Drosophila melanogaster: one gene and its partners. The protein of the gene in region 3 interacts with the protein of the main gene of each other region in a pairwise test. Each region holds a gene or a part of one and is shown on either strand. Other genes may lie near its edges. The genes, in order: CG11327, BNIP3, CG16904 and nub.

Evidence for each region.
Region 1: the proteins of CG16904 (region 3) and CG11327 interact in a two-hybrid assay, tested with the Drosophila melanogaster proteins (one large-scale study listed by BioGRID).
Region 2: the proteins of CG16904 (region 3) and BNIP3 interact in a two-hybrid assay, tested with the Drosophila melanogaster proteins (one large-scale study listed by BioGRID).
Region 4: the proteins of CG16904 (region 3) and nub interact in a two-hybrid assay, tested with the Drosophila melanogaster proteins (one large-scale study listed by BioGRID).

The regions. Positions count from the first base shown.
Region 1 is NT_033779.5:6,682,824-6,690,125, reverse strand, and holds CG11327 (uncharacterized protein), read left to right. Parts: upstream 1-3,413; 5' UTR 3,414-3,563; intron 3,564-3,626; 5' UTR 3,627-3,631; coding exon 3,632-5,059; 3' UTR 5,060-5,284; downstream 5,285-7,302. Other genes in the region: Tsp (thrombospondin), read left to right, coding at 1,008-1,330, 1,389-2,872, 2,929-3,062, 3,131-3,201; Nhe3 (Na[+]/H[+] hydrogen exchanger 3), read left to right, coding at 6,178-6,400, 7,256-7,302.
Region 2 is NT_037436.4:20,511,807-20,522,208, forward strand, and holds BNIP3 (BNIP3), read right to left. Parts: upstream 7,588-10,402; 5' UTR 7,202-7,587; coding exon 7,162-7,201; intron 5,499-7,161; exon of another isoform or gene 5,471-5,498; coding exon of another isoform or gene 5,455-5,470; exon of another isoform or gene 4,893-5,454; intron 4,327-4,892; coding exon 4,055-4,326; intron 3,981-4,054; coding exon 3,919-3,980; intron 3,818-3,918; coding exon 3,638-3,817; intron 3,578-3,637; coding exon 3,526-3,577; 3' UTR 2,793-3,525; downstream 1-2,792. Other genes in the region: CG32425 (uncharacterized protein), read left to right, coding at 131-579, 715-1,269, 1,332-1,880; mTerf3 (mitochondrial transcription termination factor 3), read right to left, coding at 7,811-8,088, 8,148-8,934; CG5104 (uncharacterized protein), read left to right, coding at 9,350-9,421, 9,609-9,778, 9,854-9,971, 10,349-10,402.
Region 3 is NT_033777.3:9,814,286-9,820,865, reverse strand, and holds CG16904 (uncharacterized protein), read left to right. Parts: upstream 1-3,886; 5' UTR 3,887-3,908; coding exon 3,909-4,124; intron 4,125-4,196; coding exon 4,197-4,769; 3' UTR 4,770-4,938; downstream 4,939-6,580. Other genes in the region: CG42857 (uncharacterized protein), read left to right, coding at 1-237; CG9458 (uncharacterized protein), read left to right, coding at 999-1,226, 1,291-1,857; CG9459 (uncharacterized protein), read left to right, coding at 2,500-2,727, 2,795-3,364; eloF (elongase F), read right to left, coding at 5,846-6,418, 6,484-6,580.
Region 4 is NT_033779.5:12,583,703-12,591,759, reverse strand, and holds the start of nub (nubbin), read right to left. Parts: upstream 4,136-8,057; 5' UTR 3,708-4,135; intron 1-3,707. UniProt on the Drosophila melanogaster protein: DNA-binding regulatory protein implicated in early development. Involved in neuronal cell fate decision. Repressed directly or indirectly by the BX-C homeotic proteins.

The DNA of each region.
Region 1 (7,302 bases), on a different chromosome or scaffold from region 3:
CCCTCGCATAATGTGCAACACTATCAGAGGCAGAGCCAGTACACCGCCCGAAAATACTCGGTCGTTACGAACTAATCCGCGGAGGAAGGGACTATTGCAACGTTTTCGGCTGAGCTATGATACACAACTAAAGCTAAACAAGTACAGAGCGTAGAAAGTGCACATATTGAATTACTACTTTATAAAATAGTCATAAGTTGTAAGCTCTCCGATTGGCGAACAGCGGAAATTCATAGTATTAGCAATTATCATTTGAAAGCAGACGCAGCTCCAGCGGAAAATCGTGAGATAATATCATTGAAAAGCTCTTGTAGAATAGATAACTAAATATGTATATGTACGTCCCAATCAAATGCCCAGAAAGTGGAGTCTATAAACGTGTAACAAAATTTGCTTGCCCCGCCTGAAATCTCCCAATTATTGTAATAAACTATGAATATTATTATAACAAAATGTACGCTGTAATTTTTGGTATTTAATAAATAAACTCCATCATTGGCCACACAAATTTTTATTTATTTACCCATCGAAATCATCCAAACCAAACCCACATGCCTTTCTATCGCATCATGTTTATACACTATCATTTTCTGGTCATACATTCAGATATATCAACGGTGAGTGGAAGTTGAACTCGAAATATCTTATAGATAATTATAAAGAATCAGCTGAATAGATATAACTTATTTCAAAGAAAAGCTATATCATTTTACCCAGTGTCCATGAATCGGCAAAGAATCGGAAAACAATATAGAAGTAGAAAGCGAAGTAGCACAAAAGCTTATATACATATAGTGTTTTTGTCAAACTTACATCGAAATTGTCATTTTTCAAACCGTTTTTTAAACAGAAAAAGTTTTCTTTGAAGAAAATGGCTCATAAAGATACTCATACATATGTGAGTGAACATGTTGGCAGCTTCGTGAATAACTCACCTGTTTCCATTCGTTTTATTGCATTGCAATCATCTTAATTCGTTTTTGCAATTACTTTTTAACTTAACGAAGGCGCCCAGTGCCTCCAGGTTGGCTATCCGCCCTACTTTCACTGCATCTCGTGTCCAATGGGCCACGAGGTGAACGGAACCAGCTGCCGGGATATGAATGAGTGCCTGCTCTACGATCCTTGCGACGAGCTGGCGACGTGCACCAATCTTAGTCCTGGCTTCCAGTGCAGCCCGTGTCCCGTTGGCTTCGATGGCACCCACGCCCATGGCTACTTCGCCGACTACTACTCCGTGGATTATCGCAGGCAAACGTGCCTGGACGTCGATGAGTGCCGCACTGGGTTCTTCCGATGCCCGGAGCATTCTACTTGCATCAACGAGATTGTGAGTACGATACAAATTTAAAAAAAAATAGTTTAAAAGTAATAGATTTCTTTCGCAGGGTTCCTACAGATGCCAATGCCACGAAGGATATGTAACAAATGGCACCTACAGCTGCCTAGACAGATCCTCGGTGTTCATGTGTCCGGATGGAACCGTTTGTGACCGCAATGCCGTGTGCCTTAGGATGGATAACATCCGCCACAAGTGTCACTGCAATGTGGGATGGGCGGGCAACGGTTTGATTTGCGGTAGGGATACCGACGTAGATGGATGGCCAGATCAGGCAATCGGTTGTCCAGAGCTGCGCTGTCAGCGAGACAACTGCCCGAAGTTGCCTAATTCAGGCCAGGAGGACGCCGATCTGGATGGACATGGCGATGGGTGCGACGACGATGCCGATGGCGACAATGTCCAGAACAGCCAAGACAACTGCTGGCTGGCCTACAACACCGAGCAGCTGGACTCGGATGGAGACAAGGTGGGCGATGTGTGCGACAACTGCGTGCTTAAGTACAATCCCAGGCAGTTGGACACGGACGAGGATGGACTGGGAGACGAGTGCGATGGTGATATCGACAACGACTCCATACCAAATGCGCTAGACAACTGTCCGCTGCTGCCGAATCCCAGTCAGTCGGACGTGGACAACGATGGTGTGGGCGACGCTTGCGATAACTGTCCGAATCTTCCGAATCCCGACCAAAAGGATCGCGACATGGACTTTGTAGGCGATGCCTGTCACAGAGACATCGACGGGGATGATGATGGAGTTCCAAACTCGCTGGACAACTGCCCAATGGTCAGTAACTCGGACCAGCTGGACACTGACGGTGATGGAACGGGCGATGAGTGCGATGACGACATGGACGGAGATGGGATACCCAACTACAAGGACAACTGTCCGCTGGCCAAGAACCCAAAGCAGGACGACTTCAATCGGAATGGCAAGGGTGACTCTTGCGAAGATGATGAGGACGTAGATGGTGTACCGAATGGCATGGACAACTGCCCGAACAACTCGATGATTCATCACACTGACTTTCGCACTCTTCAAACCATTCCACTGGATCCCAAAGGCCTATCGCAAGCGGATCCCAACTGGGTGGTACACGCCAATGGCACCGAGATAGTCCAGACCCTCAATTCGGATCCGGGACTAGCGGTGGGCAAGGACGCCTTCGGAGGCGTTGACTTCGACGGCACCTTTTATATCAACGATGACACGGACGATGACTACGCTGGCTTTGTGTTCAGCTACCAGAGCAGCTACAAGTACTACGTGGTGCAGTGGAAGAAGGGCACCCAAACCTACTGGGAGCCACGACCCTTCACCGCCTCTGCGGCGCCGGGCATCCAGATCAAGCTGGTCAACAGCACCGAGGGTCCGGGCCCAATGATGAGGAACAGCCTGTGGCACGAGGGAAACACCGACGGTGAGGCCAGGCTGCTGTGGAAGGATCCGAAGAACATTGCGTGGAAGGAAAGGACCTCCTACCGCTGGTCCCTGGTGCATCGACCGGCCATCGGCCTCATCCGCCTGCAGTGAGTGATGGCACCATGACAGGGTTCCCATGTCTTCATTCTCCTTCTACCCACAGAATGCACGAGGGTAACCGCCTGATCTTCGACTCGGGCAATGTGTTTGACTCCACGCTGAAGGGCGGTCGGCTGGGCGTGTTCTGCTTCTCACAGAGGATGATTATATGGTCCAACCTGCAGTACAAGTGCAATAGTAAGGGAAATCGAAACAAAGTGGTAACTTCAACTGAACTAAACTTTTTTCTATGCTTTTCAAAACAGATCGTGTGAAGCCGCTGATCTACAATGATCTGTCCGACTATCTCAAGACGAAGGTGGAGTTGCAGGACTGAGGGGAATCGCAATCCTCAGAGCCATTAACGTCTTTTCTGCCATCAATTCTAACCAAATTATGTATTAATGCTACCACTAAGTTAATAAATGAGTTGCCAATCCAGTTGGCCATTGGAGCCGCGTTTTCCAACACAAAAATGAACTGAATCAAGTTGGCCTGGCTGCACGTGAAATCAGGAGACATTGCCTGTCAATCCATTTAGTTCAATTGCCACAGTTAGGCGAACACACTTTCGCTAGGGAACGTTTTGATCACCGAAATAAGGGAAAACCCATGTTGAAAACATTGATATAATATTTCACGGATGTCGAACTAGTTAACCAGGTTAAATTCAGTCAGTCTTGCGTAAATTTATAAAGGGTAAGTTGGAGCACAGTGCTCTACCAAATTGTGCTGACCTCATTCATTTATGCGTCCAAATAGCCACGATGGCCAGCCGCAATGTGCAAGCAACTCCATCCCAGGAAGAGCTGAAGCGGACTGAGAACAACAAGAATGTGAAAAACTCCGAAGAATGTCAATCAATGGAAAACGATGTGGACGCGGTTGTCCCATCTTCGTCGGAGAGTGAGCTGCGGCCTCGCAGTTCGGGAGTTAGGCCCACTAAAATTCCGGCTCCACTTTTCTTGGGACCCAGTGCCAGCAGCCGGATCTACAGTTCACTGATGCCCGAGAGAAAGCGACGCTCCTCCATGGAAAGTCAACAGATGGCCGACGATTCTGGCATCAATTTGGATTGCTCCACGGACGAGCAGCAGACTACGCTGTCGGCCAGACCGAGTCCAATGCTGCAGCCGATGCTCGACAGGATTCCGGACACTAGCAGCGAGTTGGAGCTCCGACTGGCAGAGGAGCAGACTCTCAAGGAACTTCAACGCGTCGTCGCCGAAATGGAGGCTGATGTGGCTTTTAATAATTTAGATATGCAAAATCTACTGCCCGATGATATTGACCAGGATACACAGGTGCAATATGACGCCACTGATGTGGATACACAGTTGCAAAATGAAGCCTCTGATGTGGAGAATGGTGCCGAGTCTTCCGGACTAGATATGGAACAGCTGACAGGAAACGATATTCAGCAGGAAACACTTCCTGAAACACAACCCGAAGAACTTATACCAGGAAATGTACAGATGGTGGAAAAAGAAATTGCACCGAAAGGGGAATTTCCAGAAATAAAGGAAACTGCCGTGGAAATAGAATCTTTAAAGGAATTCGAAATTGTCCAGCATTTGGGCGAAGAGCCAATAGATGAACACACAGAGATCGTCCAAGAGACCCCGCAAGATCCTACAGACGTAGAATCCGAGAAATCTGTACCCGAATCGGATATGGAGGAACTCGAAACGTTAATTAATGAAAGTAGCGAGTCCGAAGAGGACAGGCTTGTTCGTGAACAATTCGAGAAATACCCTGAAACATTGGAGCCCATGTTTCATCCAACGGCGGATGAGATTGTGTGCATTGACTCGGTCCCGGAACTGGCCGACCATCCCTCACTAGATGGGTCGGTGCAAAACGGTCGCGAGATGGTTACTTTGGATGAACTATTTGATCCGGAGTACAATGTGCACCTAATGCGCCAACTTTTGCAGGCCAGAATAGAAGAGAATAGCGAAGTTGAAACAGCTCCAGACTTGATAGAAAGTGAGCAAGCGGAAGAAAGGGAGACGCTGACGGGCCCGGAGGCGGAAATCGATATGGAGGAGGAAACGGATCCGGACCTAAAACAAACTGGCAAGCCCTTGAGTTTCTTGAGGCGTCTAGTCAACCACAGAATCCTTAAGCTTAGCTATCCCATATTGTTCTGCAGCTTGGCTTTCAGTTTGGTCTATATAATTCGCAAGGAGTAGAAGTTCACTATTCTAGAAATGCAAATTGGATAATGCGAACTTGCGAGAGCATACGTTTCACTACGGTATATCTTAGGAAACACTTCAAAATCGCCCGACGCATTGGCATAGTTGGGTTGCTTTAAATATCTATTTTCCAAATAAATATCCACAATATCACGGCCGCACTGTTTGTAATTTGTATAATTTGTATGTATATTTGAATTAAAGCGCCAATTACTTAACATTCTTTTTGAAACGAGCGCTAGGTGGCGCCTTTGTCAGGTCATACTCTTGTTGGCTAGGGCAGGGTAACGGTTATCGATAACCGGAAACTGCACCTGCCCGTTTACTGTTTTCCCGGAATAATTACCGATGGAGGAACGGCGGAATTCTAAACATGGGGAATTTTTTATTTATTTTTTTTTTTTTGAATGTATAGAGGAATCGTGAAAAATAGCAATGATACGAACTTACAGATCTAACTATGTCGGTGGGACACGGAGAGACTGGTCGGCGGGACTAGTACTAGACGACGGGAAAGAAAATTAATAAATGAAAAGGCTAATTTGACGCAATTCCCGGAATAATAGTTTTTACTTGGAAAATAGTTTGGGATTATTGCAAGTTTTAGTTTTACATAACTATTATATTGAATACAAATATCTTTACTGAACCGCTCCTGTTCAAAGGCAATATTTTTTCGCGTGCTAGCGTGCGGTCACACTGCAGTCGCATACGGTTGTTTCCATATGAACGAACAAACTGTTTTTTTAGCGGAGTGCGCTGCTGTGAAATTTTGAAAGCTCTTTTTGGACCCTTTAATTTTATGTAACGGCTGTGCGGCACATTCAATATCCAAGCGAAAGGAGGTCCACACACTCCCCTGGCGCCGCCTGAGCGTGGTCGTCCTGCTCCGCGCTTCTAGCACCATCACCTCCACCACCACCCCCCCAACCCGTGAAACATAACGCGAAAATCGATTTCGGCTGCAGGCGCAGGAAGAAACTGAAGAAAGTATGTCCCACGGCGATGTGGACCCCGAGGTAGAGATGACATCGCCCCACCGTATTCATGGGGACGCAGGAAGTCACCCAAGGTCGCAGACATTCTGGAAGCTACAGTGCTGGCGGAGCAGCATGCTGCTCATAGTCGGATTTGCATTGTGCGTCCTCGCGCCTGGATGCAGCGCCACGGACACTGACATCGCTCTGGACGCCAAGGCCACGCTCAATCACCGCATCCAGAGCCTGGACCTTCTAGTCTTCGTGTTCCTGCTGGCGCTCACAGTGCTCACAATTTGGCTTTTCAAACACCATCGCGTCTCCTGGCTCCACGAGACGGGATTGGCCGTCATCTACGGTACGTTGGTAACGCGGGCAGCTTTCCCTTTTGGCCATGTTTCCCTTAGCTCGAAAGACTTGATTATCGGTCACCTGCCACATTCATTGCTACCTCTTTGTTGTCACCAATTTCGAATTACGCCTTTGTCCACGCCAACCGTGACATTACGTGCGCACATATGGGAGGCAGTAAAAGCCACCCCGGGGTAGAAGTAACATCAATATCCGTGAAAGAACCTGCACGCAACGACAGCAGAGCTAATGCATTGCGGCAAAGATATTGTATACGAGACCTTGACTTGCTTAGTCAGTCAATATCATTGGGGTTTTCCGACCGAATGTATTTTCACTGCTCGTTCATGATCGCGGCAATCTGCCGAGTACTTTGTTATTCTAACAATTTCGTTTATGTGCAGCAATAAAAGAGCAAACAAGATTTCGTTCGACTAATTGAAGCTAATGAAACAATTCAATAAAACTGGTTGGCCTGGGCGTCGACAAAGCCCAGCTCTGGTGTAAACTGGAAAAGATTATTTAGCATTCGTCCGGCAGGGCCAGTGAAAGCATTTTGTTATGCGCACCACGATTAATCATCCCCACAAATTTGTTTATCGGCGTGAACATAAAACACTGATTCCGTCTGCGAATTATGAACCTGTTGAGTGGTTGCTTAGTTGATAAGGCTTGATATGGCTTGACTAAGCATTTTTCTAAGCGGCTATTAGTCACACCCTTGCTTTGCGATAGGTCAGTCCAGAAAACAGTCATACTAGCTTTATTTCATTTAAGACCCGGTAAAATTACATTACAATTCAACTTATTTTCGATCCCAACTGCAGCAATAGCCAAAACTAATGTGTTTACCCCATTTCAGGCTTGATTGTGGGTGCAATTATACGATATGCCGGCACCTCCGCCACC
Region 2 (10,402 bases), on a different chromosome or scaffold from region 3:
TAATCCGAATCTGCGGGTTCAAGGTCCGCTGAATGACTTTGAACTCTGATTAATGCCACCATGCATGGGTCCTACTATCTTCAATTTAGACTATATTACTAATCCCTTCTGCGTTTTGCAAATTTTCCAGTTAATTGCAACTCGAAGGCCGTTTTAACGCCCCCTCAGCCGCCGGCGCCGCCACCTCCTCCTCCCCAAGCCAACAACAACAGCAAGGCCATCTTGGAGTGCATCAACTTCATGGCAGAGACCAATAAAGTCCGTCTCCTCAGGGGTTATCTCTACGCCGGGGAGCTGCGTCAATTAACGGCGGGCGGTAGTAAGACCGCGTGCCAGGAGCTATCACTTGAGCCCTTCTGGCAGCCGCAGCCACTGCTGAGCAAGTTAACCGATGGGGGATCCTTCGAGCTGCAGGAGCAATTCGCCATCATCAATGATGAGCGCTTCCTGCAGAGCGTCGAGCGGCAGCAGCTGGTCATGGAGCTGCGTCCATTGGGAGGAGTCGTACGACTTCCGCTGCACCAGTTCTTCATCGCCTACAGAGACTCCAGCATCACAAATCACCTGTGCAAGGGAAAGGTGCGATTATAGTTCACATAATATATACAATATATATATATATGATACACATTCCATTTACTCCTAAATAGAATTACTTAAAATAGATATATTTTTGAAAATACGTAAATTACTTATTTATTTTATGACCCATAGCTACCAGTGATCTCCATCGATGGCTGGGCACCAATTGTCAGTGCTGAGAACAAGACGCCTCTGGGCGAGCTCAAGGTGCTTCTGGCCATTGGAAGTGAGTCGCAGATTGCTCAACTGAAGCAGCTGCGTGGCTTCGACCATGACAACAACCAAGTACCGGCTCCAAGCCGGACCACAGACTTACTCGACATGCTTCAAAATGCCATCGCAGCTCCGACGCCGAATATCGCAGGTCCAGTAATGCCGCCGCCACCGGCTCCTCCAGCGCCCAGTACCTTTAGCTTCCAGTTGCGCATCGTGGGAGCTGCTGGACTGCCCCTAAATCCCGGCTATGGGAAATCGAAGAAGCAAGTAAAACGTCAGTCGGCAGCCAAGCGCTTCCCGCCCAACGAACCTCCCAACACCTATGTGACCTTCCAGGCCATCAGTTGCAATAGTCAGACCTATAAGTCGCACGAAGGATTGGTGTACGCCACACCAATTGTACCCAAATCGACGAAGCCCCAGTGGCTTAGCAAGTTCCGCGTGGACGTGAGTCGCGATTATCGCAGCAATGTATGATTTAAAAGGACCTTTTCTAAGAGATCACCTAAATACATTCCATTTTTCCTTTGCAGCCCCAGAAGCTTTTCATTCTGAAGCTTTGGAAAAAGGCGGTTGTTAGCCCAAATGGCATCACAGAGCCGTCTCCCCATGAAGATGCCATAATAGGATTCGCTGCACTTAATCTTAACCAAAAACAAGCGGGCGGAGGCTTTCCCAGCGGATGGCATAACATAGTAGACTTCAATGGACGTGTGACTGGGGGAATCGAGGCGCACGTGGAGCCCATATCGCCCAGTGTAGATACCGTAATCGATCAGTTCGAGAAGTCCATGGAACTGGGTCACTTGCAGTTGGGCCAGGCCATCAAGCGCAAATACACGGAGCTGGAGGAGATCTCGCAGAGATTGCGATCTCGGCTGGTGGATGTGACGGGGGAAACGCTGAAGTTCCCGGAATTCGATGTCGACTCCGCATTGGACAGTTGGCAACAGGAGGGAGATGACGATGATTTAGCGGAGGACTTTGAACGCTCCCTACGCACTCCCACGCCCCCTGGCTCGCCAACGCCCTCCACCAGCACCGCCGCACAAAATCTCAGAAACTCGAACGGTCAGGAATAGCCCAGGGCCAAAAGTCAGTTAAGAATGTTTTTTCCTCTCTCCACATCTCGATGTCGTCTCTGATATTGGCTCAAATGGTAGCTATAGTTAACCATCTAGATTTAGGCAATATATATATATATAATGCGCGGATCTTAATCTGATCTGATATTATGCTGTACTTAAATTGGCATCCCAGTTTTGCCTCGATTCACCGTCTTATGGCTGTCTATATAGCATAAAATCAAAGCTAGCAACGATCACCCAGCGATCGTTTCATTGAGTTACAAATCGTCGATTGAATATTGTTTTAAGTCACGAGGATTTTTCCCAGCAACCACACGGAATATGTATTAGTTTCGGAACTGTGTTAATCACCTAAGTATTTAGACACTATTACCTAATAAAACTTTAAATAAAATTACAATTGCTAAAGCAACTCAAAAACAGTTAGTTTATGCACTTTAAAGGGCGGCAGTTTAGTTCGTATCGATATTGCATTCGCTTGGCAATTGATAACAAGTCTAAATGATCAACTAACAAAATTAGTTGACTATTAGCACATTATGATGAAATTATCGCTTATACTGACTCACTGCTGATAATCTCAAAAAAATATTAATGGCGAAATGCAAATAGCGGGTTTTTCCCTTTATATACACAAAGGTAATCCAAGCCCTCACTTATGTGAAACAGTTTGATAATGCGAACAGGTACACGTCTAGCGATTTTCAAAACAACAGGCGACTTATTCAACAACAAGCACCGGGAATGCCTTTTAGACAAAAGGCATCTCAAAATACCTTGCAGCACTTCCCTGAAAATCCCTTTCATCTCACTAATCCGTCTTTCCAAGATTATAAAATTCTCAAAACTTTCTAAGCCATCTCTTGCAATTCCGTAAAACCCACCAAAGAAAAATGTTTGCAGATGCTCTTTTAAATAGATATTGAAAAATATTTTAATATAAAAAATCATTACAACTATTCTGTTTTTTTTGTGTGGGGGATAACCCTTCCCTCACATTAAAGATATAATCTTATGTGTGCCATATTGTTTTTTTTTCTCCTTTTGTATCGTTTTTCTTATATGCTTATTGTATCGAAACATTTGACGATTGTTCAACAAAAAGTACAATCAGGATACAATACGATTCAACTATAATATGTCTACAAATGTTTATGGTTGTTCTATATGATGTATGATGATGAAATTGAAATTCTTAACACGAAGTTCGGCGTACATTTGTATTGGATATAATGCACGGTTGGGTGCTAAGACATACGGCTAAAGCAAAATATATGGAGCATCTATAAATGCTTTTCTGTATCATTAGATTTGCTGCCTTGATATAATGTTAAATATATAAAATTATATAAAATATGAAAACGCTTAGTTTCAACCATTGCCCAAAGGCCTGTTTTAGTTTGCTGGCTTAGTAATTAGAAATTACATTTTTATAGGTATGTACTGAATGAGAAGGTGTCGAAAATATAGACTTCCGATAAAAATACAAATGAGTTGGAATACGGTTGGCTGTATAGATGTGTATACTTCGTTTTCTTATATGGAACGCATCGTGTTCTGTTTTCGATTGATGTGCATATTGATAGATTGAAAACGATTATATATATTTCCTCTTTCTCCTTTTTGTTTATGGCATCTTTCAGTCAATGACCACACGGGTAAGGAGTATGCCACGCTTGCTCAACCATAGCCTATAAATAAATACCATTACATGAAATGTGAATCTGGTGAAGATTGCTAGAGACCCTTACCCGAATCCAGCTCCCAGCAGCAGGGACAGGACGTTGGTCACCAGCAGCGAGTACAGAATTTCGCGGGAGAACAACGAGTTGGAGCCCAGTCGCTTCAAACGGATGGAGTAGCCTGTGTTAGTCTTCTTTTTCTCGCCCTCGTCGCCGGCATCCCGACTTGAATCCTCAATGTTCCAGCTACTGTAAATAATAATTCAATGAATGACCATTTGTGGTAAAAGGCCGCAATGCTCCAAACTTAGTTCTAGATTCTAGAAACTTAGCTAAATAAACTTTCATACCTGGGTGGCTGATTCCAGTTCTTCAGCCAATCTTCATTGCCTGCATTCTGTTTGTCTCCTCCCTGGCAAAAGCAAAAACAGAGACTGGCATTGTTAGCAAGATCACCTCGGTTCCGCCTCGATTCTCATCTCTTACCTTGGTCCAGTAGTTGATGTACACGTTTCTGAGCTCATCATCCGGACAGAGCTCCGACTGGGGACTGTTCGGTGGACTCTTGGGGCTATCACGGGGCGTATCACGACGGGAGCTGGCCAAGGAGACGACACGGCTCGACTGGTTCGACTCGCGCTGGGCCTCGCGCAGAAGTCTCAGGTACTCCTCGCCATTGTTGAATGGCAACGGAGTGATTCTGTCGGGGCTCTTGATGCCAGCCATCGCAGCTGTTGTGCTGAGTTCGATCCAAGATTCTGGAAAGTAGATCATTAGCATGATAGACTGGCGAACAAAGTGGGTGAAAGCTAAAGCCAAATGGGGTGAAATTAAATATTTAGTTGGTTGCATTTGGAGGTGGTTAAATATAGCACAGGCTCGAGGGTCGAAACCTTTTGGGGCGTGTTGAATAAACATGAGAAGTCCAAACACAGACGTGCGTTATGACGTTCTTTATTGAATTTATACAAACGAAAACGTTCTAGGTTCGTTAACAACAATTTTTAATTTAATTTTAGAAATTTTCATACAGAACATATCAATATTTTACGATGTTTAAGTTTTGAATGGTTTAACCCTATTTAACTGTTTATTTATGAAACAGTTTATTTATTTCTAAGCTGATAAACGTCAGTTTAAAGTAATCCCTTGTCTAAAATTACACTTGCTGACAAAATAAAGTAGTTTCACTTGTTTACTCAGAAAGGCGTGCAGTTTGAGAGCCACTGTGCGGCGGCAGCGGCTCTAAAAATGTGCCATCGTCACCCTTTCAGCGTTTGTCTTCGTTTTTGTTTACACGTAAAAACATTTTAACCATACATACGTTCGATTCGTTAGCCGGATCTGCAATGTATGTGCTTGTATATATCTGTTCGAGTGCTCGTGCCCCATTGATAACGCTAAAAACCCCACCACTCGCATAATTTCCGTTTCTTTTCGGCATACTGTGTATATAAAGCAGCACACATGTTTTGTTTATAGTCTATACAAGCCGATGCTTATCAATGCTCTACGGAGAAAATTTCATTTTCAAAACAAATCGAGAAAAAAGACAAACTGGCGATGCAATATGGGCACGAGAAGCGTGCAAGTTACTTGATAAGGAGTACAGTGTAGCGTTCCTAAAAACTACCTAATAATACAACCAACTGATTACATGTATACGCATATATATAATCACACATACGATCACACCCAACGCCTCTTATATCATCTATTATTCACTTTCTAATTAATTAAAATTAATTTTTTCTATAATTTTGTAATGTCACATTATAAATTTAAAATCTTCCTGGTATTGCTTTCTCTCGAGTTATCACTGTACAATCATCTAATTTAGACACTTTCGCGATGGAATCAGTTACAGAATAATTCAGATCACTCACGTGGCACACCAATCATGCTGACAATTGAATACTAAATGCATCGTCTAGACGAAAAGGATGATGCATTTATGATGGAAATGTTGCGAAAATAGAAAATGGAAATGCCCGTATGTCAGGTAGACGCAGAAGTTTTGCACAGGTAAACAATATTTGGAGCATTATCGGGAATCCGGGTTACAGGTACGAAAATGGAAACAAAAACAAAAGCAAAAGTGCACAGAAGGGTGGCAAAAACAAAAACAATGGCTTTGTGACTCACGGCACGTAGGCCTCTCTCCCTCTCTTTCGGCCAACCACCCTCCGTCTCTCTCTAACAATCACTCCCCCTCTCTCTCTCTCTTTCTACCCTACCCTCTTCGGGCTTTGTCGGGTGTGCATCTTGATGCGCAGCTGTCCAAAAGACCCTGAGTTGGGCCCATTGAACCGCCTTTATTATTGGATGGATGACTCCTCGGTATCATGATACGATTTCTTGCGTAGTATATGGCACAGTGCACAAAGAAAAAATGTTTCTCTAAGTTGGTCATTCATTTCGCACGTGTTTTAAGGTCAAGAAACAGATCAAGCCGGCGCATTACTTACACACTTATTTCATATACATATGTACATACTTAGCTTTAAAAGATTAATATCAGATTCATTCAAACGTATAGAAATACATATGAATAATATTTATATGCTATCATTGATAACGGAATTCCACATCCAAACTGTGTCAAACCTTTCAAAAGTGATGTATTTCATAACATATGGTTCGATTTGGGCTAAAACTGATTAGATTAATACTGCTTGGATGGTAGTAAATTGAAAAACAAATTTTTCGTCCGGCATTACTTTTGTGAGTGACTTTGCAGAATTGTAGTATAATTTCTGTGGTAGTCAACAACCTTTTCGACAAACAAACAAAGTGCTTTCAAGCAGTCAACCAAAAAGATTATACTTTATGTCAACAAAATATTTCAACATTTCGTGCAATTCCTAAGAAAATTTATTGAATATTGTCCATCATACGATTTTCATAAAATTAAGAGATTTTGAAAAACACATTCAAGTACGTTGATGAGTATAAATTTATATAACCTAGTTTTTCCGCGAGTGTAAACGTGGATGTTGATAAAGTGGGCAGCCGAAATACAATTGAAGCGAATATGCCAAAGGCGCAATTTCTGGAAACGACCGATAGGGAAATGCCCTCCCACAAAATGTATTTATTTACGAATTATTTTAGCAAGCCAGACGGAAGAAGAAGACCGGGTCGGGGAAATGGGGAGCGCAAAAAGTAAACCACAACTGACGTCAAGCGTGCTAAGTGCAAAGTAAAGGAACAAGACATGACATGAATGAAAGAGCGGAGGGAGAAAGAGTGCGTTGGCAGCTTCTTTGTCTTTGTTTTCATACGGAGTTTTGCGGATTCTTTGTTGTCTCTCTTTCTTTCTCGCCCCCTCTGCGGAGCAAGAACAAGTGCAAAGTAAACAAATAAAAGCAGAAAGAAATCAAAAAGCAGACAACGCAAAGCCTTGAAAAAATATGGGATGCGGATACTAACAAATTGCAAACAACTCCATAAATACATACACATGTCTAGATACTCTCGCAACAACAACAATGCGGCATAACGGGTTACCATGTTATTGTTATGATTGTAAAAAGGGGAGACGCAAAAAAACACGAATGAAAGAGCAAAGCAGACGAAAACAAACAACTTACCGCCCAGCAAATCTTCGCTCGATTTTGGTGTCGTAGACATTTTGTTTTTGTTTATCGGTATGTGTGTTCAACACGTCAACACCAAAGATAACTTGGGTTTATTGCTTATTATTAACTCGCTTTAAAGTTAAACTATTTCTATTATTCTTTCGTGAGTTTGACCAAGTTTTTTTTGGCCCTTCCGTATGTCTGCCTGTGTTTGTGTATTCGCTTTTGCTGTTTATGTATGCGTAGGAAAATGCGTTTTACTTTTCGTTTGGCGCTGTTTCTCCGCCGCTGCACTCGATTTGACTATAACTACTGGTTTCGGACTGAAGCCAACCGCTGGAGCTCCGAAATATTGCAACTTTGTTTAATGCTTCTCCCGAAGCGACTGTCTTGTAACTAAAATTAAACACGATTCGTTTCTACGCACAAGCTTAATGCGTAGTTTAAATCTTTTGTTGCTGTCCAGTGTGACCAGATGGAGAAACGGTAGCAATCCAGGTGCGTGTCTATGTTTTCCTACATCTGGCATCCCTTGTATCAAGTAAATTTATTGGTGGTTATTTTTAAAATGATAAAACTTGGTTTCTGTTGACTTTTGAAAATATATGCATATGCATATATGAATATGAAAAGTATATATACATTTACTTTTATTTTATTCTTATCTCGTTTTCAAAAACAAATCAAATGTTTCCAAATCACTTTTAGCCACATTTCGGACGAAATAAAAGTTATTGCCTTCCACTATAGTTTTTGGCGATATATACAGGTCTTTTTGCGGATCATATTGCGCTCTTCCAAGCAATTTCAGGAACTCATGACGTTCCCGCAGTCTAAATTCGCGTGAGGCCAAAAGCTCCGGGCACTGGACAATCTGGGCATGTGGAAGGCCCATATCCTGGTGAATGTAACTAAATCGCTCGACAAGATCATCCGGAGCTGCAAGGATAAGTTGTTTAATTACAAATGTCCTTAATTTTGAATGTAGATAGACTTACGAATCATCAAGAGGCGCGGCTTTCGTACCACCAGGTCACTTAGCTCCTTGGCATTGAATCCCATTTCCTCCTTAAGGGTGAACACAGACTTGCGGAGGTGTTCCATATTGTAGGTAATGGCATTGGGTTCTCTGGTGGCCAACAGTCGCAGATCATGACCACTCAATTTGAACTCCTTTTGGAAGTAACCCAATCGACGATCCACTCGCCTGGTGGAGAACATCAGCCAATAAGGATTCTGGGTGAGAATTCTTTGCCTGGCTTCGTCCGAGAATCTCTTGCTTTTTAGATAGTTCACTCTGGTCTGCAGATCGTCCAAGTCCTCCTTGAACAGCAGCGGGTTCTTGGTGAACATCCTGCCGAAGTCATCGGGTGATACGCCCTGATCCACCAGGAACGTTATGTAGGGCTTCACATTTTTCTCGAAATCCAGCTTCAGTACAAAGTCTCCCAATCCCTTTCGCCGTTCAATACTGTGCAGATCCACTCCCAAGCTGAGAAATTGCTGCAGGGTACTCGAGTTGTTCACATAGGCCGCCAAATTGAAGGAAGGCACATGGGCCTCCCGATTTCGGAAGTCCAGAGCCACTTCTTTGGAGCCTTCACATTCCGCAGGCTCGGTCTTCTTGTCATTCTGTTTGGTGGTTATACCCGGTGATGTTAACACTTCTACCTCATGGTGGACACTTTGTTGTCCTCGCAGATTTCGTATTTGTGAGGTAATTGTTGCGTTTTTAGCCGCATTTTGTGAATTCCTCAAAATGTTACGTAGAGCTGAACAAAACATGCTGGAGGCGTTGCCAGATGTCGCGAATGTGACCAGCAGTTGGCTGCCAAAGTTTCTAAATATGGCATGCTAGCTAGAAAAAGCTAAAATTATATTTTGAATATGATTTTGATATAAAAACATATTTGTTTTTAAATGGATATTCTTGAACAAAAATGCACTACTAATATCTGATTTCTTTAGTTTTTTTATGAAGATATATATAAAATTGCAAATTGTTGGTATAATTTTTAATCGGACGGTATATGTTAACGGTTACCACCACGGTCACACTAGGTATGATCTTGGATTTATTTTGGTGTGAAAATTCCGGAGCATAAAAACAGAAGAGACCCTTGTATGTGCAAAACCCCCCGAGAGGAGTGCCGGTAATTCCAAGTCAGCCACCTGTTGAACATTATTCAATCGCCGCATAATGGACAAGTTGCGCCGCGTTCTGAGTGGAGATGAGCCCACTCCGGAGGAGGAGAGCAGTATCATTACGCAGGTGAAGAAATTTTCTAATGGTACAGATCTCATTAGATCCCTTAACATATTCTGGCTGGAGGAATTATGATTATGGCGTGGCTTAGGAGCTAGCCGCTGGCAACGCCCCGCGATCACATGGCGCCCCAAGCCGTGTGACCCAACGCTTATCAAAGTATTTAGTTAATATCAATCAATTACATACGCAGATCAACGACATGTCCACTTTGAGCTGGTCCACTCGGATCAAGGGATTCGTCATCTGCTTTGCCTTGGGCATCTTACTTTCCCTACTCGGCTCGGTCGCCCTATTTCTGCACAGGGGCATTGTGGTCTTTGCGGTCTTCTACACTCTAGGAAACGTCATCTCGATGGCCAGGTGAGCGAGTTGCTGGTTCCGTTCCACTCGTACTTCACACAAGCCGGCTAATGAGTCTCTCTTCTCCGGTTTCAGTACCTGCTTTCTCATGGGTCCCTTCAAGCAGATCAAGAAAATGTTTGCGGAAACACGGCTGATCGCCACCATCATCGTGCTCGTCATGATGGTCCTGACGTTCATCGCTGCTATTGTGGTAAGGCGTCCATGCTCAAATCGAAGATATCACAATTATTTAGGGTTCGGTCGTTAACTTTTATAATCAAGTTAGTTTTATAGCGATAGCATGACGAATTTGTTTGCAGGTTTTGTAGAAAACTTTTCCTTAATGTTTAGACTTTAAAGTTATCCAATGAAATAGCGATCCAAATCTTATACATACTTCATGAACTCACAGTAAAGTTAAATGAAAGCTTTTAGCATTTTACTTTTAATATTAATAACACAGTTTCACATGCCCTAGCAATTAAATTCTGAATATTGGTTTAATTCTTATTACTTGAACAAAAAAACAGTACGATGCAATCGATGTGTGCACTTAATATGTTATTATTTTTATTTGATTGGCTTTAGTGGAAAAAGGCGGGACTCACGCTTATATTCATTATCATACAATCTCTGGCCATG
Region 3 (6,580 bases):
ATGAAAAGGATCACGTGCCAGGATAAAAGCGAAAGGATAGCAAAGAAAGCAGTTGATCAATGTGTGGAAACTGAGAAGAAGGAAAAGAAAATGCGCCCTCTCAAAAGCTACAATCCACGTGCAATTGATCCACCTAAGGTGCATCGTATGCCGACTATCACACCTTTACTCATGCAAACTGTGATAATTAAGAATCGGAAGTATGTGGCCATTAGTGAGACAGCCGACAACGAGTGATATGTACTTGGCCTGATTTTTCAGTTTTATAAGGCAGCGACTGGTATCTAATTAAACTAGTTTCGACATATGCTCATTGCCATCTATTGAAGCGCTTAATAAAAAGCACAAAACGAAATTGGTAGACTCTTTTAAAGTTGATTTCGACACATATATGTATGTACATTGTATTAAAACCCACTATTGCATTTAAATAAGTGCACTAGATGCCGCGACCCGTATTTAGTTCTAAATTTGTTATGGCTGTTGCCACTTTTGTTGCACTGGATGTGCGTGATGTGGCGGTATTTGTTTATGTACCATTTTCGCATCCGCTTTGCATGGAAGTTGCTGCAGTTGCAGTTTGGCCACGCCCACTGCGTAACCCGATGCGATACGAAAATGGCCGCCCATCTTTTTGTACCGCTTTCGTTTCGCATGTGCGTGATTTTCGAACATTTCCCGGGAGCCCATTAAACTTTTAATGGAATTTTCATAATCATGTTTAAAGTTGCGAAGGTACGTGGAAAGTTTTGCATTATTGGTATTGATTTAAAGCCAAGGGGAATCAATTTTCATGGTTACTTTCACTGTCTGCCTCCTCAGGCTCTTCAAATTAAATACAAATCATGCATTTGTCGCATGCTTCGAGTATTGGTAAACCCTACTTGCCGTACTCACGCCTAAATTACCATACCAATTAAGCGTGTTTATCGAAGCTTATAAACCACAATAAAATTAGTCGCATTTCCATCGATCCACGGTAAGCACACACAATCGCAATGTTGGGTGATCTAGTGGACTTTTTGGGCAAATCCCCACCCGATCCTGTGCGCCTGCCACTCCTGGCCAGCCACAAGCCCGTCCTGATGGTATTGGCCACCTACCTGTTCTTCGTAAAGATAGCGGGTCCAAAGATCATGCGGAATCGAAAGCCCTTTGACCTTCGCGGTCTGATAAAGGCGTACAACATCATGCAGATCGTGTACAATGTCATCATGTGCTTTTTTGTGAGTTTCCCCCCAAAAATATCAACCATCACGGATTGTTTAATATAGAAATTCCACTTTACAGGCTGTCCACTTCATGCTGGGACCCGGAGACTATAACTTTAAGTGCATCAAGAACCTGCCGCCGGATCATGAGTACAAGACCTGGGAGCGCTGGCTTACGTACTCGTACTTCTTCAATAAGCTGCTCGATCTGCTGGAGACGGTCTTCTTTGTGCTGCGAAAGAAGGATCGCCAGATATCCTTTCTGCACGTCTTCCATCACATGTACATGCTGTACTTCAGCTTTATGTATCTGTACTACTACGGATACGGTGGTCATGGGTTCTTTATGTGCTTCTTCAACGTCGTCGTGCACATCATGATGTACAGCTACTACTATCAGTCGTCGCTCAATCGCGATTCGAAGGGCGATCTGTGGTGGAAGAAGTACATCACTATCGTTCAGCTCATCCAGTTTGGAATCGTTCTGGGGCATAGTATCTACACCCTAAAGCAACCGGACTGTCCATCAGCCCGGTTCTCGGCGACCTGTGCCGGCAGCATCTCCGTTGTGTTCATCATCTTATTTAGCAACTTCTATTTTCATGCCTATATTCGACCCAAGAAAAGGAAACAGAAAAACATCTAAGCTAGAGCCAGTCATCAGATTTGTTCTGTGCAGCATTTAGATCTCTATAGAGAAACCTATTTTAATTTTAGAGCTAATAAAAAACATAAAGATGTATTTGAATTGTATATCTGTTTACTAGTAATGACTGATATTCGGATGAATATTATGATGGAAAAGGTGGAATAACACAAGACTTTGCCCGAAATTGTATGCTATTACTACGAAAATATCAATATCAAACAAAGTGTAAGTAAACTTCATTAGAAGTGACACGGTTAGAATTATATAAAATCGATTGATCTTAGAATACGTTAAAGTTATTACGTCAAAAGGCATTAAAAACTGGACTGCATTTAAAACTGGACTACATTAAAAACTAAATACGAATGCCATTATTTTACCTTTCGTAACCAGGGGACAGTGGATGTTCAACATATCCGGCATTCCAAGCGATGGAAACCTATTTTCCTTACTTTGTGACCGCAATACCCTCTTATATGGTCGGCGTAATAGGTTTTACTTACGTATGTAGGTATTTGTATAATAGAAACACACACTTAAATCAGCCTCGAAAACGAGCAGATTACCATTTCTCGGTTCTCGGCCGGAGTCCACATCAGTCGCTATTCCACCGACGTCGATAACACTTAGATATCCGACATGTTTGCCCATATGCTGGACTTCCTGAATCGATCGCCACCGGATCCTGTGCGTCTTCCGTTGACCAGCAGCCACTGGCCGGTGTTGACCATCCTTGGAATCTATCTAGTCTTCATAAAAATAGTGGGTCCTTGGTTTATGCAGAATCAAAAGCCCTACAATCTGGATAGAGCTATCAAGATCTACAACATCGTGCAAATCGCATACAATGTCATTTTGTTAATATTTGTAAGTAATGCTCTTTTTTTTAACAAAAATATATTAATATTCATTATATGTATCTCCAAATTTAAAGAGTGTGCACTTCATGCTTGGTCCTGGCAACTATAACTTCAGTTGCATATCCAATCTGCCGTTGGATCATGAGTACAAGAACTGGGAGCGTTGGCTCAGTTACTCCTACTTCTTCAACAAGCTCATGGATCTGCTGGAGACTGTGTTCTTTATATTCAGAAAGAAGTATCGCCAGATATCGTTCCTGCACGTTTTCCACCACGTATACATGGTGTACATAGGCTTCTTGTACATGTATTATTATGGATACGGCGGCCATGGATTCTTCTTGATCACCTTCAACGTGGTGGTGCACACCATGATGTACACCTACTACTACCAGTCGTCCCTCAATCGGAACTCGGGTGGCGATCTCTGGTGGAAGAAATACATCACAGTCGTTCAGCTTGTCCAATTTGTTATTATATTCTCGCACAGCGTCTATATCCTCCGGCAAACTGATTGTCAAACATCACGATTATCGGCAACTTGGGGCTCACTGATATCTGTAGTATTTATAATTCTATTTAGTAACTTCTACGTTCGCACCTACATTCTTCCCAAGAAAACGAAATCGGCGGTGGGCCGATGAGCAAAACTAATTAAGATTTAATATCACTGTTCCTTACATTAATCAATGTCATTAATAAATGCTTTTGATACAACAAATTCATTTGTTTTATATCATTGTATATATCGTATATTATACATAGATATATATTTTACATAAAGCAATGGGAGATATTTGTTGGTTTCTAGAACTCTCTATCCACTCGACTGCTTAATGCTATTAAATATGCAAAATACCCCTTTAATTGGGTCTCGCCAGTATTTTATAAATGTAGAACACTTTTTTTGTTGTATTGACAATAATGTCAAAAGGAGTAATTTTGTAAATAATGGCACTGCTGATTAATAAAATGTTGAAAATAAAAACGTAGTTGAACTGTTACTTATATTGTATTTAGTTCGATTTGCAAAGCTTTAAGTATTCAAGTTGAAGGTTGATAGTGGGTTAAACATACCGGAAATTTGCACTAATGTAATTAGCAAATAGGTAATAGTATAGTGGCTATCGTGAAAGAAAGAAATCACAGAAGGTAAAAGTCAAGTCACTCGTTAAGTCGTGCGCGAAAATGTTCGAGGTGTTCGATAAGCCCTTCGCCGATCCTGTCCAGCTGCCGCTGGCGGGCAGTATCCGCACCTCGGTGATCATCATCACGGTGTATCTATTGTTTGTGCTCAAGCTGGGCAGGAAGCTGATGGACAAGCATGAGGCACTCCAGCTGCGAGGTGTGCTCAAGTTCTACAACATCGGACAAGTCCTGTTCAATTCGGTGATTTTTGTGTGGGTACGTAAGTCGAAGGATATCGATATACACAGTTTTTTAATCGTTTTCAATGGATTGCTCCATATTACCCAGGGCATCCATCTGTTATTCGTGCAGAAGCCGTACAACCTGAGCTGCATGCAAGTCCTGCCGCAGGATCATGAGCTAAAGTCCACGGAAAGGACACTGTCGTACATGTACCATCTGAACAAGGTGCTCGACCTGATGGACACCATATTCTTTGTGCTGCGCAAGAAGCAGCGCCAGATCACGTTCCTCCATGTGTTCCATCACGTCTTCATGGTCTTCACCTCGCACATGCTGATCCGATTCTACGGTTTTGGTGGCCATGTCTTCCTGATCTGCATGTTCAATGTTCTGGTGCACATCGTCATGTACGGCTACTACTACGCCTCGTCGCAGAGCCAGAATGTGCAGGAGAGCCTCTGGTGGAAGAAGTACCTTACCCTGGGCCAGCTGGTGCAGTTCCTCCTGATGTTCCTGCACTGCATGTACACCTATTTCCAGCCAAACTGCTCGGCGTCGCGGGGTGTCATCTATGTCATAAGTTCGGCCAGCGCCTTCATGTTTCTGATGTTCACCAAGTTCTACATAAAGACCTACATTCGGCCGAAAGAGGTCAAGTCCAAGGGCAAGGTCAACTGAATGCACCTGCTACACTGTGATCAAAAACTGGTAATTCGTATGTACATAACTATTGGGGTGCATAGGAATGAAGAGTGTCTTTCCAACTTTCATACAATTTTTGTTATAAAATTCCCACCTTTGATCCTGTTTTTTTTTTGTATTATTTAATAAGAATGTATTTGTAATCAACAAATATTTTATTATTACTTTTACAATACATTGGCTTCTTAAATTAAATTTGAATTATAAAGTGATACATCATTGGTTTCTCTGAGTGTACTCGACAATTTGCATATGCGCCGTTTGAATAATAGATGAATTCAAATGCATCGACAGTTAATTCAAATGCAGTCGAAAAGGTCAAGGAGTTAGACTCCGTCCGGAATAAATCCCATCGGCCACATCTCGACTACTCGTGGTTTCCATCGTCGAATCGAGGGGATTCCCCTTGGCACGTGATCTGCATGCTCCGCAGAACTTGGACCGAGCACGTCTCTGGACATTCCATGCTGCATTTAATTAGAATATTAGGAACGAGCCTGGCCCAGCACCGGCGATTTATGGCACCGGAAGGGTCACCCGTGGCCGGCCGAATTTGCATAGGAATCGCATGCGGCGAATCAGAGTCAAAGTGCCAGCTGAATAATTGCGGCCATGCGGCAACATTAAAGCGAAGCCGCAGTCAAGTGCAGTGGTTCCTGGTTGGGCACTAGCTTTTCGGGTCCTTCGTCCTTAGTCCTTCGTCCTTCGTCCTTCCTTGGCCCCTGGAATGGGGCCTCCAACTGGCCGAGCCACCGAGCGTGCTGAGTAATTGCCGTTTTAAATGACATTAAACGTGCATTGTGCATGCACTTCCCTTAGCAGTCGCATGCCTGCGTTTCCCCTTTATGCATTCGATTTTTAGCTATTTTTATAACTACCCTTTGCATGACACTGGTGAGACTGCCTTCAAAAATAGTTTGACGCCAAGAAAACAAATGTTTTTTAATTCATTTACCCCATAAAATCATATATGAAATATTCAAAAATAGGCTGTGGCTATTGTTGCTTCACGAATCTTTAGGCTTTGTACTCATGATTTAGTTTAAATTTAGTTAATTTTTGTTTTGTTTCGCTGACTTCTTTCCTGGCTTTATGTAGTTGTGGTAATAAAATTGGCTAAATATCACTGCAAAAAACGCTGAAAGCGATCCGCATCCGTAGGTCAAGGGTCTGTTGACCGCGCAGTTGGGCTGTGCCAGCGTGATGGTACAGTGGAGCAGAATAATGGCGAACTGGACCAGCTGAGCAATTGTGATGTATTTCTTCCACCAGAGACTTCTCTGCACCTCCTTGCTGATCGAGGATAGATAGTAGTAGGCGTACATAATCACGTGGACGGCGGTGTTTAGCAGGCACTGTGGAAAGGCAACGCCACCGTATCCGTGGAAGCAGTAGTAGAGATATCCAAAAAATGCCATCGCAAAATGATGGAAGACGTGCAGGAAGGATATCTGTCTGTCCTTTTTGCGGAGCACAAAGAAAATGGTTTCCACAAGGTCTACGAATTTGTTCACCAGGTACAAAGTGCAAATCAAACGCTCTCTATCCTTATATTTGTGATCCATCGGCAGGCTAACAATGCAACTGATTTGGTAGGCTTTCAGGACAAACAGGAAGTGAACTCCCTGTAAAAGTAGCATCCTCCCATCAGAACCTGCAGATGTCCAGAAGCCCCAGTTCAAATACTTACTAAAACGAGTATTAGACCATTGTAAAGGATCTGGAATATGTTGTAGATCCTGATGACGCCATTCAAATGGAAGGGCTTTCGGTGCTCCATGATTTTG
Region 4 (8,057 bases), on a different chromosome or scaffold from region 3:
ATATGACCTTTACCCAAGTGTGACAATGCCTTGGCACTCATTATGGGTGGGTCTGCACCACCTCTTCTAAAATACATTTCGCGCGAATATTTATTTTTGCTTGCCTAGCTAATCAATTTCAGCAGAAGGCTTAGCAAAGTCAGAAATATGTGGATAAAATCGTACAAAAATTGACAATTAATAGAAGCGTATTTTTAACTCGTGGTCTTAAAATGCTAATAGAAGTTTAGTGGCAAGTCCATGTGTATTAGCGGAATTTACAAAATTAATTACATTTAATGCGTAGGCAAATAGAAGAGGTCCCTCATCGATTTCTGTCACCCTTCACATATCGAAGGGGGTCTGAATATTTCCCATTTATGAATAATGGGGCGCCATTCGTTATGTGCCAAAGAGAGATTTCCTGCGGCTCAAGTTGGCTTAGCTCTGCTCCACGAAAAAAAAAAAAAATGAAAATAGGCACCGAATATTCAACACTAAATTAAACAATTTGTGACTTACAAACTAAGACAAATTAACCCCATTGCAGCTCAATATTAATTAGCCACACTTTACTGATTGCCTTGTCGCCGGAGCCCCAAATTCCTAATTCTAAACAAATTATTTGTCTTTCTATCTAGACATCATCATTTCCCCCATTTGGCACCTGTTTTTTGACTCATTTCCATTTCGCGGTATCGCCGGGTTCTATCTTGATAACCGTCTGTGTTTGTTAACTAGCCAAGTCTTACTGTAATTGACTAATGAATGGCATTCATTGTTCCTGCTTTTTTAACTTGTGACAAATTTATTTATTATTACTACGGTTTTGTTCTTGTGTCACGTTGAATTCTTATTGCCTTCGATTATTGGCAGACGGGTCCTCAAGAACAGACGTCGATCGACGTGGTATCACGTGGTAATAACTGATCGACTTGTGCCAGAAGTCTCAAGTGAGGAATTGAAAAAGGTCAATAAGGGGGAAGCACAATATTTTAGCCAAGTCAAGATCTATAAAACGGGAGGTGCTTCTTGGAATTGCGATATTTGGCTTATACTGCACTTCGCTACTCGACTTATAGATAAGAATATATGGTGATGCAATCATAAAATATAAAATATAAGTTAGCTGTTTTAGTTTCTACATATGTGCAATAAATTTCGTATTTATAATGATAATAATAATGGAATAAATGTCATGACTTTTTTAGAGTTAATAAACATATACTTAAGAAGACACTTGCTAATGTGCCAAATATCAGGTACGCAGCCCTTAACTTAACGCCACTTGAGGCAAGTTGTATCGCACCGGACCTTACCTAACGCAAACCATCGAAACAAAAAAGTGAAAAACCGGTGCAAACCGATTTCCAAGATTGCGAAATGTGAAACGTGTTAAGCGAAACAAGCCCCCCAATGAACTTTGCGCGGACTAAACATCAGCCCATATTTCAAGATTCTATTGTTTACCCCCGGTGAAAGAATTACGAGTTCCAAGAATTGAATTTAATAAACTTTAATCACGAGCCTTCAACTTATTTGTTAATTTTGCAAATTATATTTTATTGTATCGCGCCAATCGAATTTCCGCACGAAGAAGATAGTAGTGGGGGAAAGGACCCTTTTAACGAATTTGGCTTATCAACCGCAAAGAAATCAATAATTCTTATCAACCATCCGCTGATTCTTTTGGTCGCCAAGTCTCAAGTGATTCATATTTAAATGATATACGGAAATGATTAGCTTGATAAGAATCTAATTCACTGATATATGACCTCATTTTACAAATTATTTAAAGCGGGTGACTATAAATCTATTTTCGGAATGGGAGTAATATGCTCCTAACGTAATGAAAAACTCAAATCCTAATCACCTTTAAAAGTAAGTAACTTTAAAGAGTAAAAAAAAAGACATTTTCAGAGCACCTGTCACCTTTGAGGATCCTGCTATCAAATCGATACCCATTCAATTGATTAGTTTTTTTGGGGCTTGGCCGAAATTTCATTGTTGAACATGAACAATTTCATTGTTGATATGCAAAGTGCTGGGGTATGAAGTGTGTGGCATGGCACTGGTTCTTGGCTCTTGACTCTATCTCAACTCTCCTCACCTCACCACCCAACCAACCTGCGAACGGAGTTGTCTTATCAGGCCAGAGCAAACAAATTGAACTCATTTCTCTTTTTAAACAACAGCTTCGACGCAATTGTCGACACGGGTCTACGCATAGATATAGATACTCCAATAAGAACCAACTCGTCTTGGTCTTCTTGGCCCGGTCGGGCTTAATCAGTTCAGTTCGGCTGGAGGAGCACCGAATATGGTAAATGGGAAAACGCAGTCGAGATAATGCTACGCCAAGAACGAGAAGGAGAAGAAAGAAGCAGGTTAAGTTTTTCCATTCCATTTTTATCTAATTAGGCTAAGCAGGCAACGCGACAAACGCTGGACAAATATTTATTATTGTACTGTAAAAATAATCAATCACTCGATCGTTACAGCAAATGGTAATGGTATCTGTACGGCTGTATCTATATACGCCACCCAGATAACGGCATTTGAATAAGAAAAAAATAAAGAACGAGTGTCCAACCAAAAGGAAATGCAGTTCCAACTTGTCCAGAGGCACTTGAACTCAAAACTGCGGCACACCACAAGTGTTATGCTAATAAAACATATCGTGCCGATCGCCTTATCAATAAGGCAACATAATATACGCTTGTGTATTGATATAGATATACACATTAAACAAATCGAACGGTGGGTTGGTACGATATTTAAAGTGTAAATCGATCGATTTTTCTCGCACTTTGTTTGCCGTATTTATTTATTTCAATTTCAATATTATTTCTCGCCTCACCGTTCACCCCCGGCGACATTGCGAAAGATACTGGAGTTACAGGTATCCCACTTCAACTTTTGTAGAGTAAACTTTGATGCAGGTTCTGTTTACCTCCGGTCTGAAACTCAAGGCGCCTTACTTAAAAATGGTTTATACAATATCCCCCCTCTTATATGGTATACATTTCCTTTACTTTCAGTAATTTTCAGTAAATTAAGTGGTGAAAAGCCCGTTTTATAGATTGTCAAACACTATTTACTGCTGCGGGGTGGGGTAAAACCCTTTAAAAACGCTAGGCAACATAAATTCAAAAATGTTTCATTTATTAAAGCTTGTTAGAGATTGCAGATTAGGATTGTGAAATTCTACACGGCTTTGATTAATTGAATGAATCATGATTAGGGTCCAGGTGGCCTGGGGAACTCTTATCAACAAAAATTTCGGATGTCACTTGTTGTAAAATTGTTCAATCTTTTAGTCAAAAAAGGTAAGTCATTTTCGTAATTAGAAAATCAGTGAAGTTATTTATTAAATGACCCATTATTATTTTCTTTTATAAATAAAACATTTATACAATTGTATTTCTTTCCTAAATTTGTTGGTTACCAAGGTATTTAAATATTTATATACCAAAAAGATGACTGTAAGCAATTCTAAAATTTTTCAAGAAGCTTCAGACCCTTGGTCTTGGTTTTCAATCATTAAAAAATTTATTTTTGTGGTAACTACAACTTTAAATTTATTTTCTGCACATGTATATTGTTATTTTATTTTCATGTATAACAACTTGTACACAAATAATCAACCTTTCTAGATATGTGTCAATAAAATTTCTATGAATTCTTTTATATTTTTCATAGCTTAATTTAATACTCATGGGATTTACCTCAATTGTTGAGTTTTTCAGACAAACATTTCAATCTTTAAATATCAAATTCATTTCGTTCAAGTGAATAAGTTATTAGTTATCACTGTACTTTATCTGCACAATATGGGGCACTCTTTAAAAACTATAAGCGTATAGTTTTTCAATAAATTATGATGTTACTATGAGCGAAATTTGCGTCTCATTCGCAGCACGTTTCGATTCGCACAAATGCCGTCGTCAAAACGCAAAAAACTGCGGCACAAAAAGAGATCGGAAAAATCGCGACGCGAGAGCGATGAGAATGGGGATTTTTATTAGAGGGGTTCATTCGGGATCGTATTGTATCGGTCGAGTAGCGCATGGGATATCGCGGAGGACAAAATGTGTTGCCAAAGTCCGGGGAGCGCGCGCACTTGAGCTACAACCACTGAACGCTGAACTCAACTGAGGCGAGCTCGCCAAAAGTATCTTAAAGATGCGCAACAGATCGGCAACTTTAACGGCAGCGGGCTGCAACAAGTTTTTTTTTGCCAAATCCATATAAACAAAAGGCAAATAAACAAACGGCAGTGCACTGAAACAATTGCAATGTGAAGTGTCTCTGTGTTCGGGTTTTGCTGTAAGTGTGCGTGACTTTAGTTGCTCGTATCTGCTGCAGGTACTTGCACACACAGATGCACACCTGCTTGCAACATTGCAATTGCAGGAGAGGGATAAAAGAGAGCGCTTAAGCTCTCTCAAAACCGCAATGAGTTATGTTTAAACATTAATTCATTTTAGTGTAAAAAAAAACAATTAAGTTTAGTTTGAGAGCTAAAATTCTCTTGTCTCTGAAAAACTCTCGCTCTTGCTCTCTCTGCGCGCTCTCCACTCACCACTACTACTGCAAAAAGCAGCGATCGCTCACTTAGGTTCCACAAAAAGCTGACCCGTTGGGGAAAAAGAGACAACTAATCGCGCTCGCTAATTTTCACACACACTCTTGCAATATTCAAATCTGGTTGCTCGCTGTCCCTCTCTCACTTGCATGCTCCCTCGCTTTATTTAAATTTATGATTATCGCCCCCTTGTGTGTGTGCCTACTTAATCCAATTGGAGGTGGAGCCGTGACTCTCCGTCCAATTGGGAGATACGTTCGCATAGACTCTCATTCCGCCTGCATATATCGCCTCGTTAACTGTCACATTGACGCAGGTGGGGGCTTTATCTTTATTTTGGGGCCCGGACTTATCCAATTGGATTTTTGTTTTGCAAACTGGTTTCGCCAACGCCTCTTATTGGCAGCGTTATTTTTAGGTTTGCTTCGGCTATTATCTAAGTACAAATTGATTAGAGGAATGCGAATTTGTAGTAAAAGCTTTTAATTGCGAGGGAATTTGAATTTATTGCGATTTATTTCCCTTTGGCTTAATTCAGTACAATACTTTTGTATTGAAATAAATAAATTTATATATGTATCTTGCCATTCATTCTTGGTTTCATCCAGATAAGAAATTATATGTAATTATATAACTAGATAATTATACATTTTCTTTGTTTTACTACGTGCTTACTTACATTTTGCTAACAATACCTTAAAAAAAAAACTACACAAAATTATTATTTTACACATGATAAAAAATAGTTCTGTTTATATGGAGTGTATTTAGTTTGTCATCATCTGGATAAACTCAACAATGTAAATTAATCGTCAAAAATTCGAAAGAAATATTTCCCAGCTAAACGGTTATCCATTGAATGGCGAAGAGCATTCAGGTTGGACCTGCCCCGCGGAGTTTCCATTGAAGGGCATTGTTTTGGAGGGCGCCGCTGCTTCACAAATCGCATACGCACGATCTGCTGACACAATTCCGCCAGCAATTAAGTTGATTCACCTCCGCGGGCTGGAGATTTTACCTGTTGCTCAATTTGCCGGCATTTAAAAAAGCTGTCAACAGCGATCGGGAATCGGGTATCGGCGCGATCGACGACCTGGGTGCATAATTCCGGCCAACTGGAGCTGATCTTGGCCAATTGTTTACCATATGCAGTCCGGCCAGGCATTCCAAACTGTCCGCTTGAGCTTATTAGCCTGTCGTTTGCATTTCTGCGGTATTTCCACTTTGTTCAAGGCGCCGGCCTCCCAAGTGAACGGGCCCCAATTTGAATGCAAATTCCACGCATTGCGCGCTTTTGGTCATTCAAATGTTGCCGCTTCAGTGTTGCCGCAAAGTTATAGATTTAATGCAGAGGCATCCGGGATACCCTATCCGTAAGGGAAGTAAAATTTTTTGAGTCACCTGAAAGTATTAAAAATATAATAAATACAAATATACGATAACTCGTAAAACTTTCTCATTTGCTTAAAGTATTTTTTATGTATTTATTTGTTTATTACCCATTTATTTCTTTTGAGTTTCTAAAAAATTCTTGTTAAAAAAAAAGTCTATCAAATCCCTGCCCCGTCTACTTTTTTACATTAGCCTGTATTCAGCGCTAAATTTCCGCATAACTTGCTATAAACTACTTGAAAATGTAATAAAATTTGAAAAATCCTAATTTATCTAATCATGAAATGCTTGCCTAATAAGCTTCTATTGCAATATGATGATATACCACCATTACAAAATGATGGGCTGTCCTTCGGCTGATGGGCTCATCATGGTTGGATTGGTTCCTGGAACTTAAGTCGATGTTTAAATTACCATTTAAATGTTACTCCAGCCGGAGGCATTTCATCACAATGTTACATTCACATTACTCAGTCAGCATAAAATTGCAAACACATATTATTGACACATCATTATCAATCAAAGTTATGCTCAGTTGAAAGTCCGCAATGCTTCCGCAAAAAGAACAGAACAGTGTTTCTACTGCTTGCGCAGATTACAGCTAAGTTTTATGACCATGATTTATGGCAGAATTCTTCCAAGGCGGCCGTTCTGGTTTGATGGTCCAGACCAGGCCCAGTGCACCATGAAGCATCCCAATCCGAATGCGAATGCGAATACGAATACGAATACGAATATGACTTCGAGAAAGACACACTACACACTCGCTGACACGCATAGTCTAGATGCGAGTTCGTATCTAGATATCTGGCAGATACACCGCCGAGCACGAGCACTCTAGCATGCTTTATGGTCTAATCCCGATGGTTAGTTTTGTTCAGCATAAACTGCTCGATTTCATGTATTCCATTTAAATGTCATAGAATGTAGCCGCAAATCAAATTCTTAGCCGCCTCATTCAGCAATTTTACATCCATATTTATTTGCAATAATTTGGCTGCTTTATGGCATTCTCTCTCATTTTTCGCTGTTCGCCAAATGCATTTATCTTGTTTAATCTGATTATAATTGGTAAAACAGCGGCATAAAATATTCCAAATGATTGTTATGCCAAAGATAATAGCGATTTTACGATTTTGATAGGAGCCTTTCCTTACATTAAATAAATCTGTAATGCTACTGGTTAAGTGCGAAAAAATTCAATGTCGGTTGTGGCGATTTTTAGGAGCGATATGTAATTTACATTTAAATAATTATTTGACCTATTAGTATATAAAATTATTATATAAATTGAATATTTCCCCAATTAGCTTATATGTTACTTTAAAGGTACAGCATGAAAATGTAATTAGCTTTTAAATTGTGGTTGGTATTTTGGCCACCCTGTACGTTTAGCTACTTAGCATGATAATATGGTATATGTACGGGTAAACATATATTTTCCCTAGTGTAGATCTAGAAAATACTACCTTTGGCTTCCTAATGGCAACTCATCCATATGAAGATGCCTGAAAGTCAATTTTTCACTTCACACTTGCAGGCACGCCATGTCGAGCACATTTTTCTCTTTAACGCATTTAAACCCCACTGGTTAACCCCAAAACTTTGCATTTATATTAAAAAACAGAAAAAAAAAACCAAATACTGGCAAGCGCGAACAATCAGGAAAAAACAATTAAATGCGATATGAAAGGGGTTGTCTGCGACCGGCTCGTTGACAAATTGTGCGATTATGCTAAGGCCGGCCAAGAAACAGAAAGTTTTATAACTTTAATTGTCGCATTACAACACCCGCTGCGGCGAACGCAAAGTGCAGACAACAAAAGGCCATGTAATTATATATCCACTATATATCCACATCAGCTCTCCTCTGACACGCGGAATTCTTCTGGAGCATTACAAATGAGCCATTGGCGTGCTGTTCCCTTGATTATTTTAATATTTTATTAGCGCTTTTTCTGCGGTTTAATTGTTTTTAAGCAAGTCGCACCTTAGGGCAAATATGTCTGGCTTTAATATTATATTCGCTTCTAGTGTAGACATATAAAAGTTTATGGAGCATACATAAATAAACTTATAAAAATATAAATATAATGGA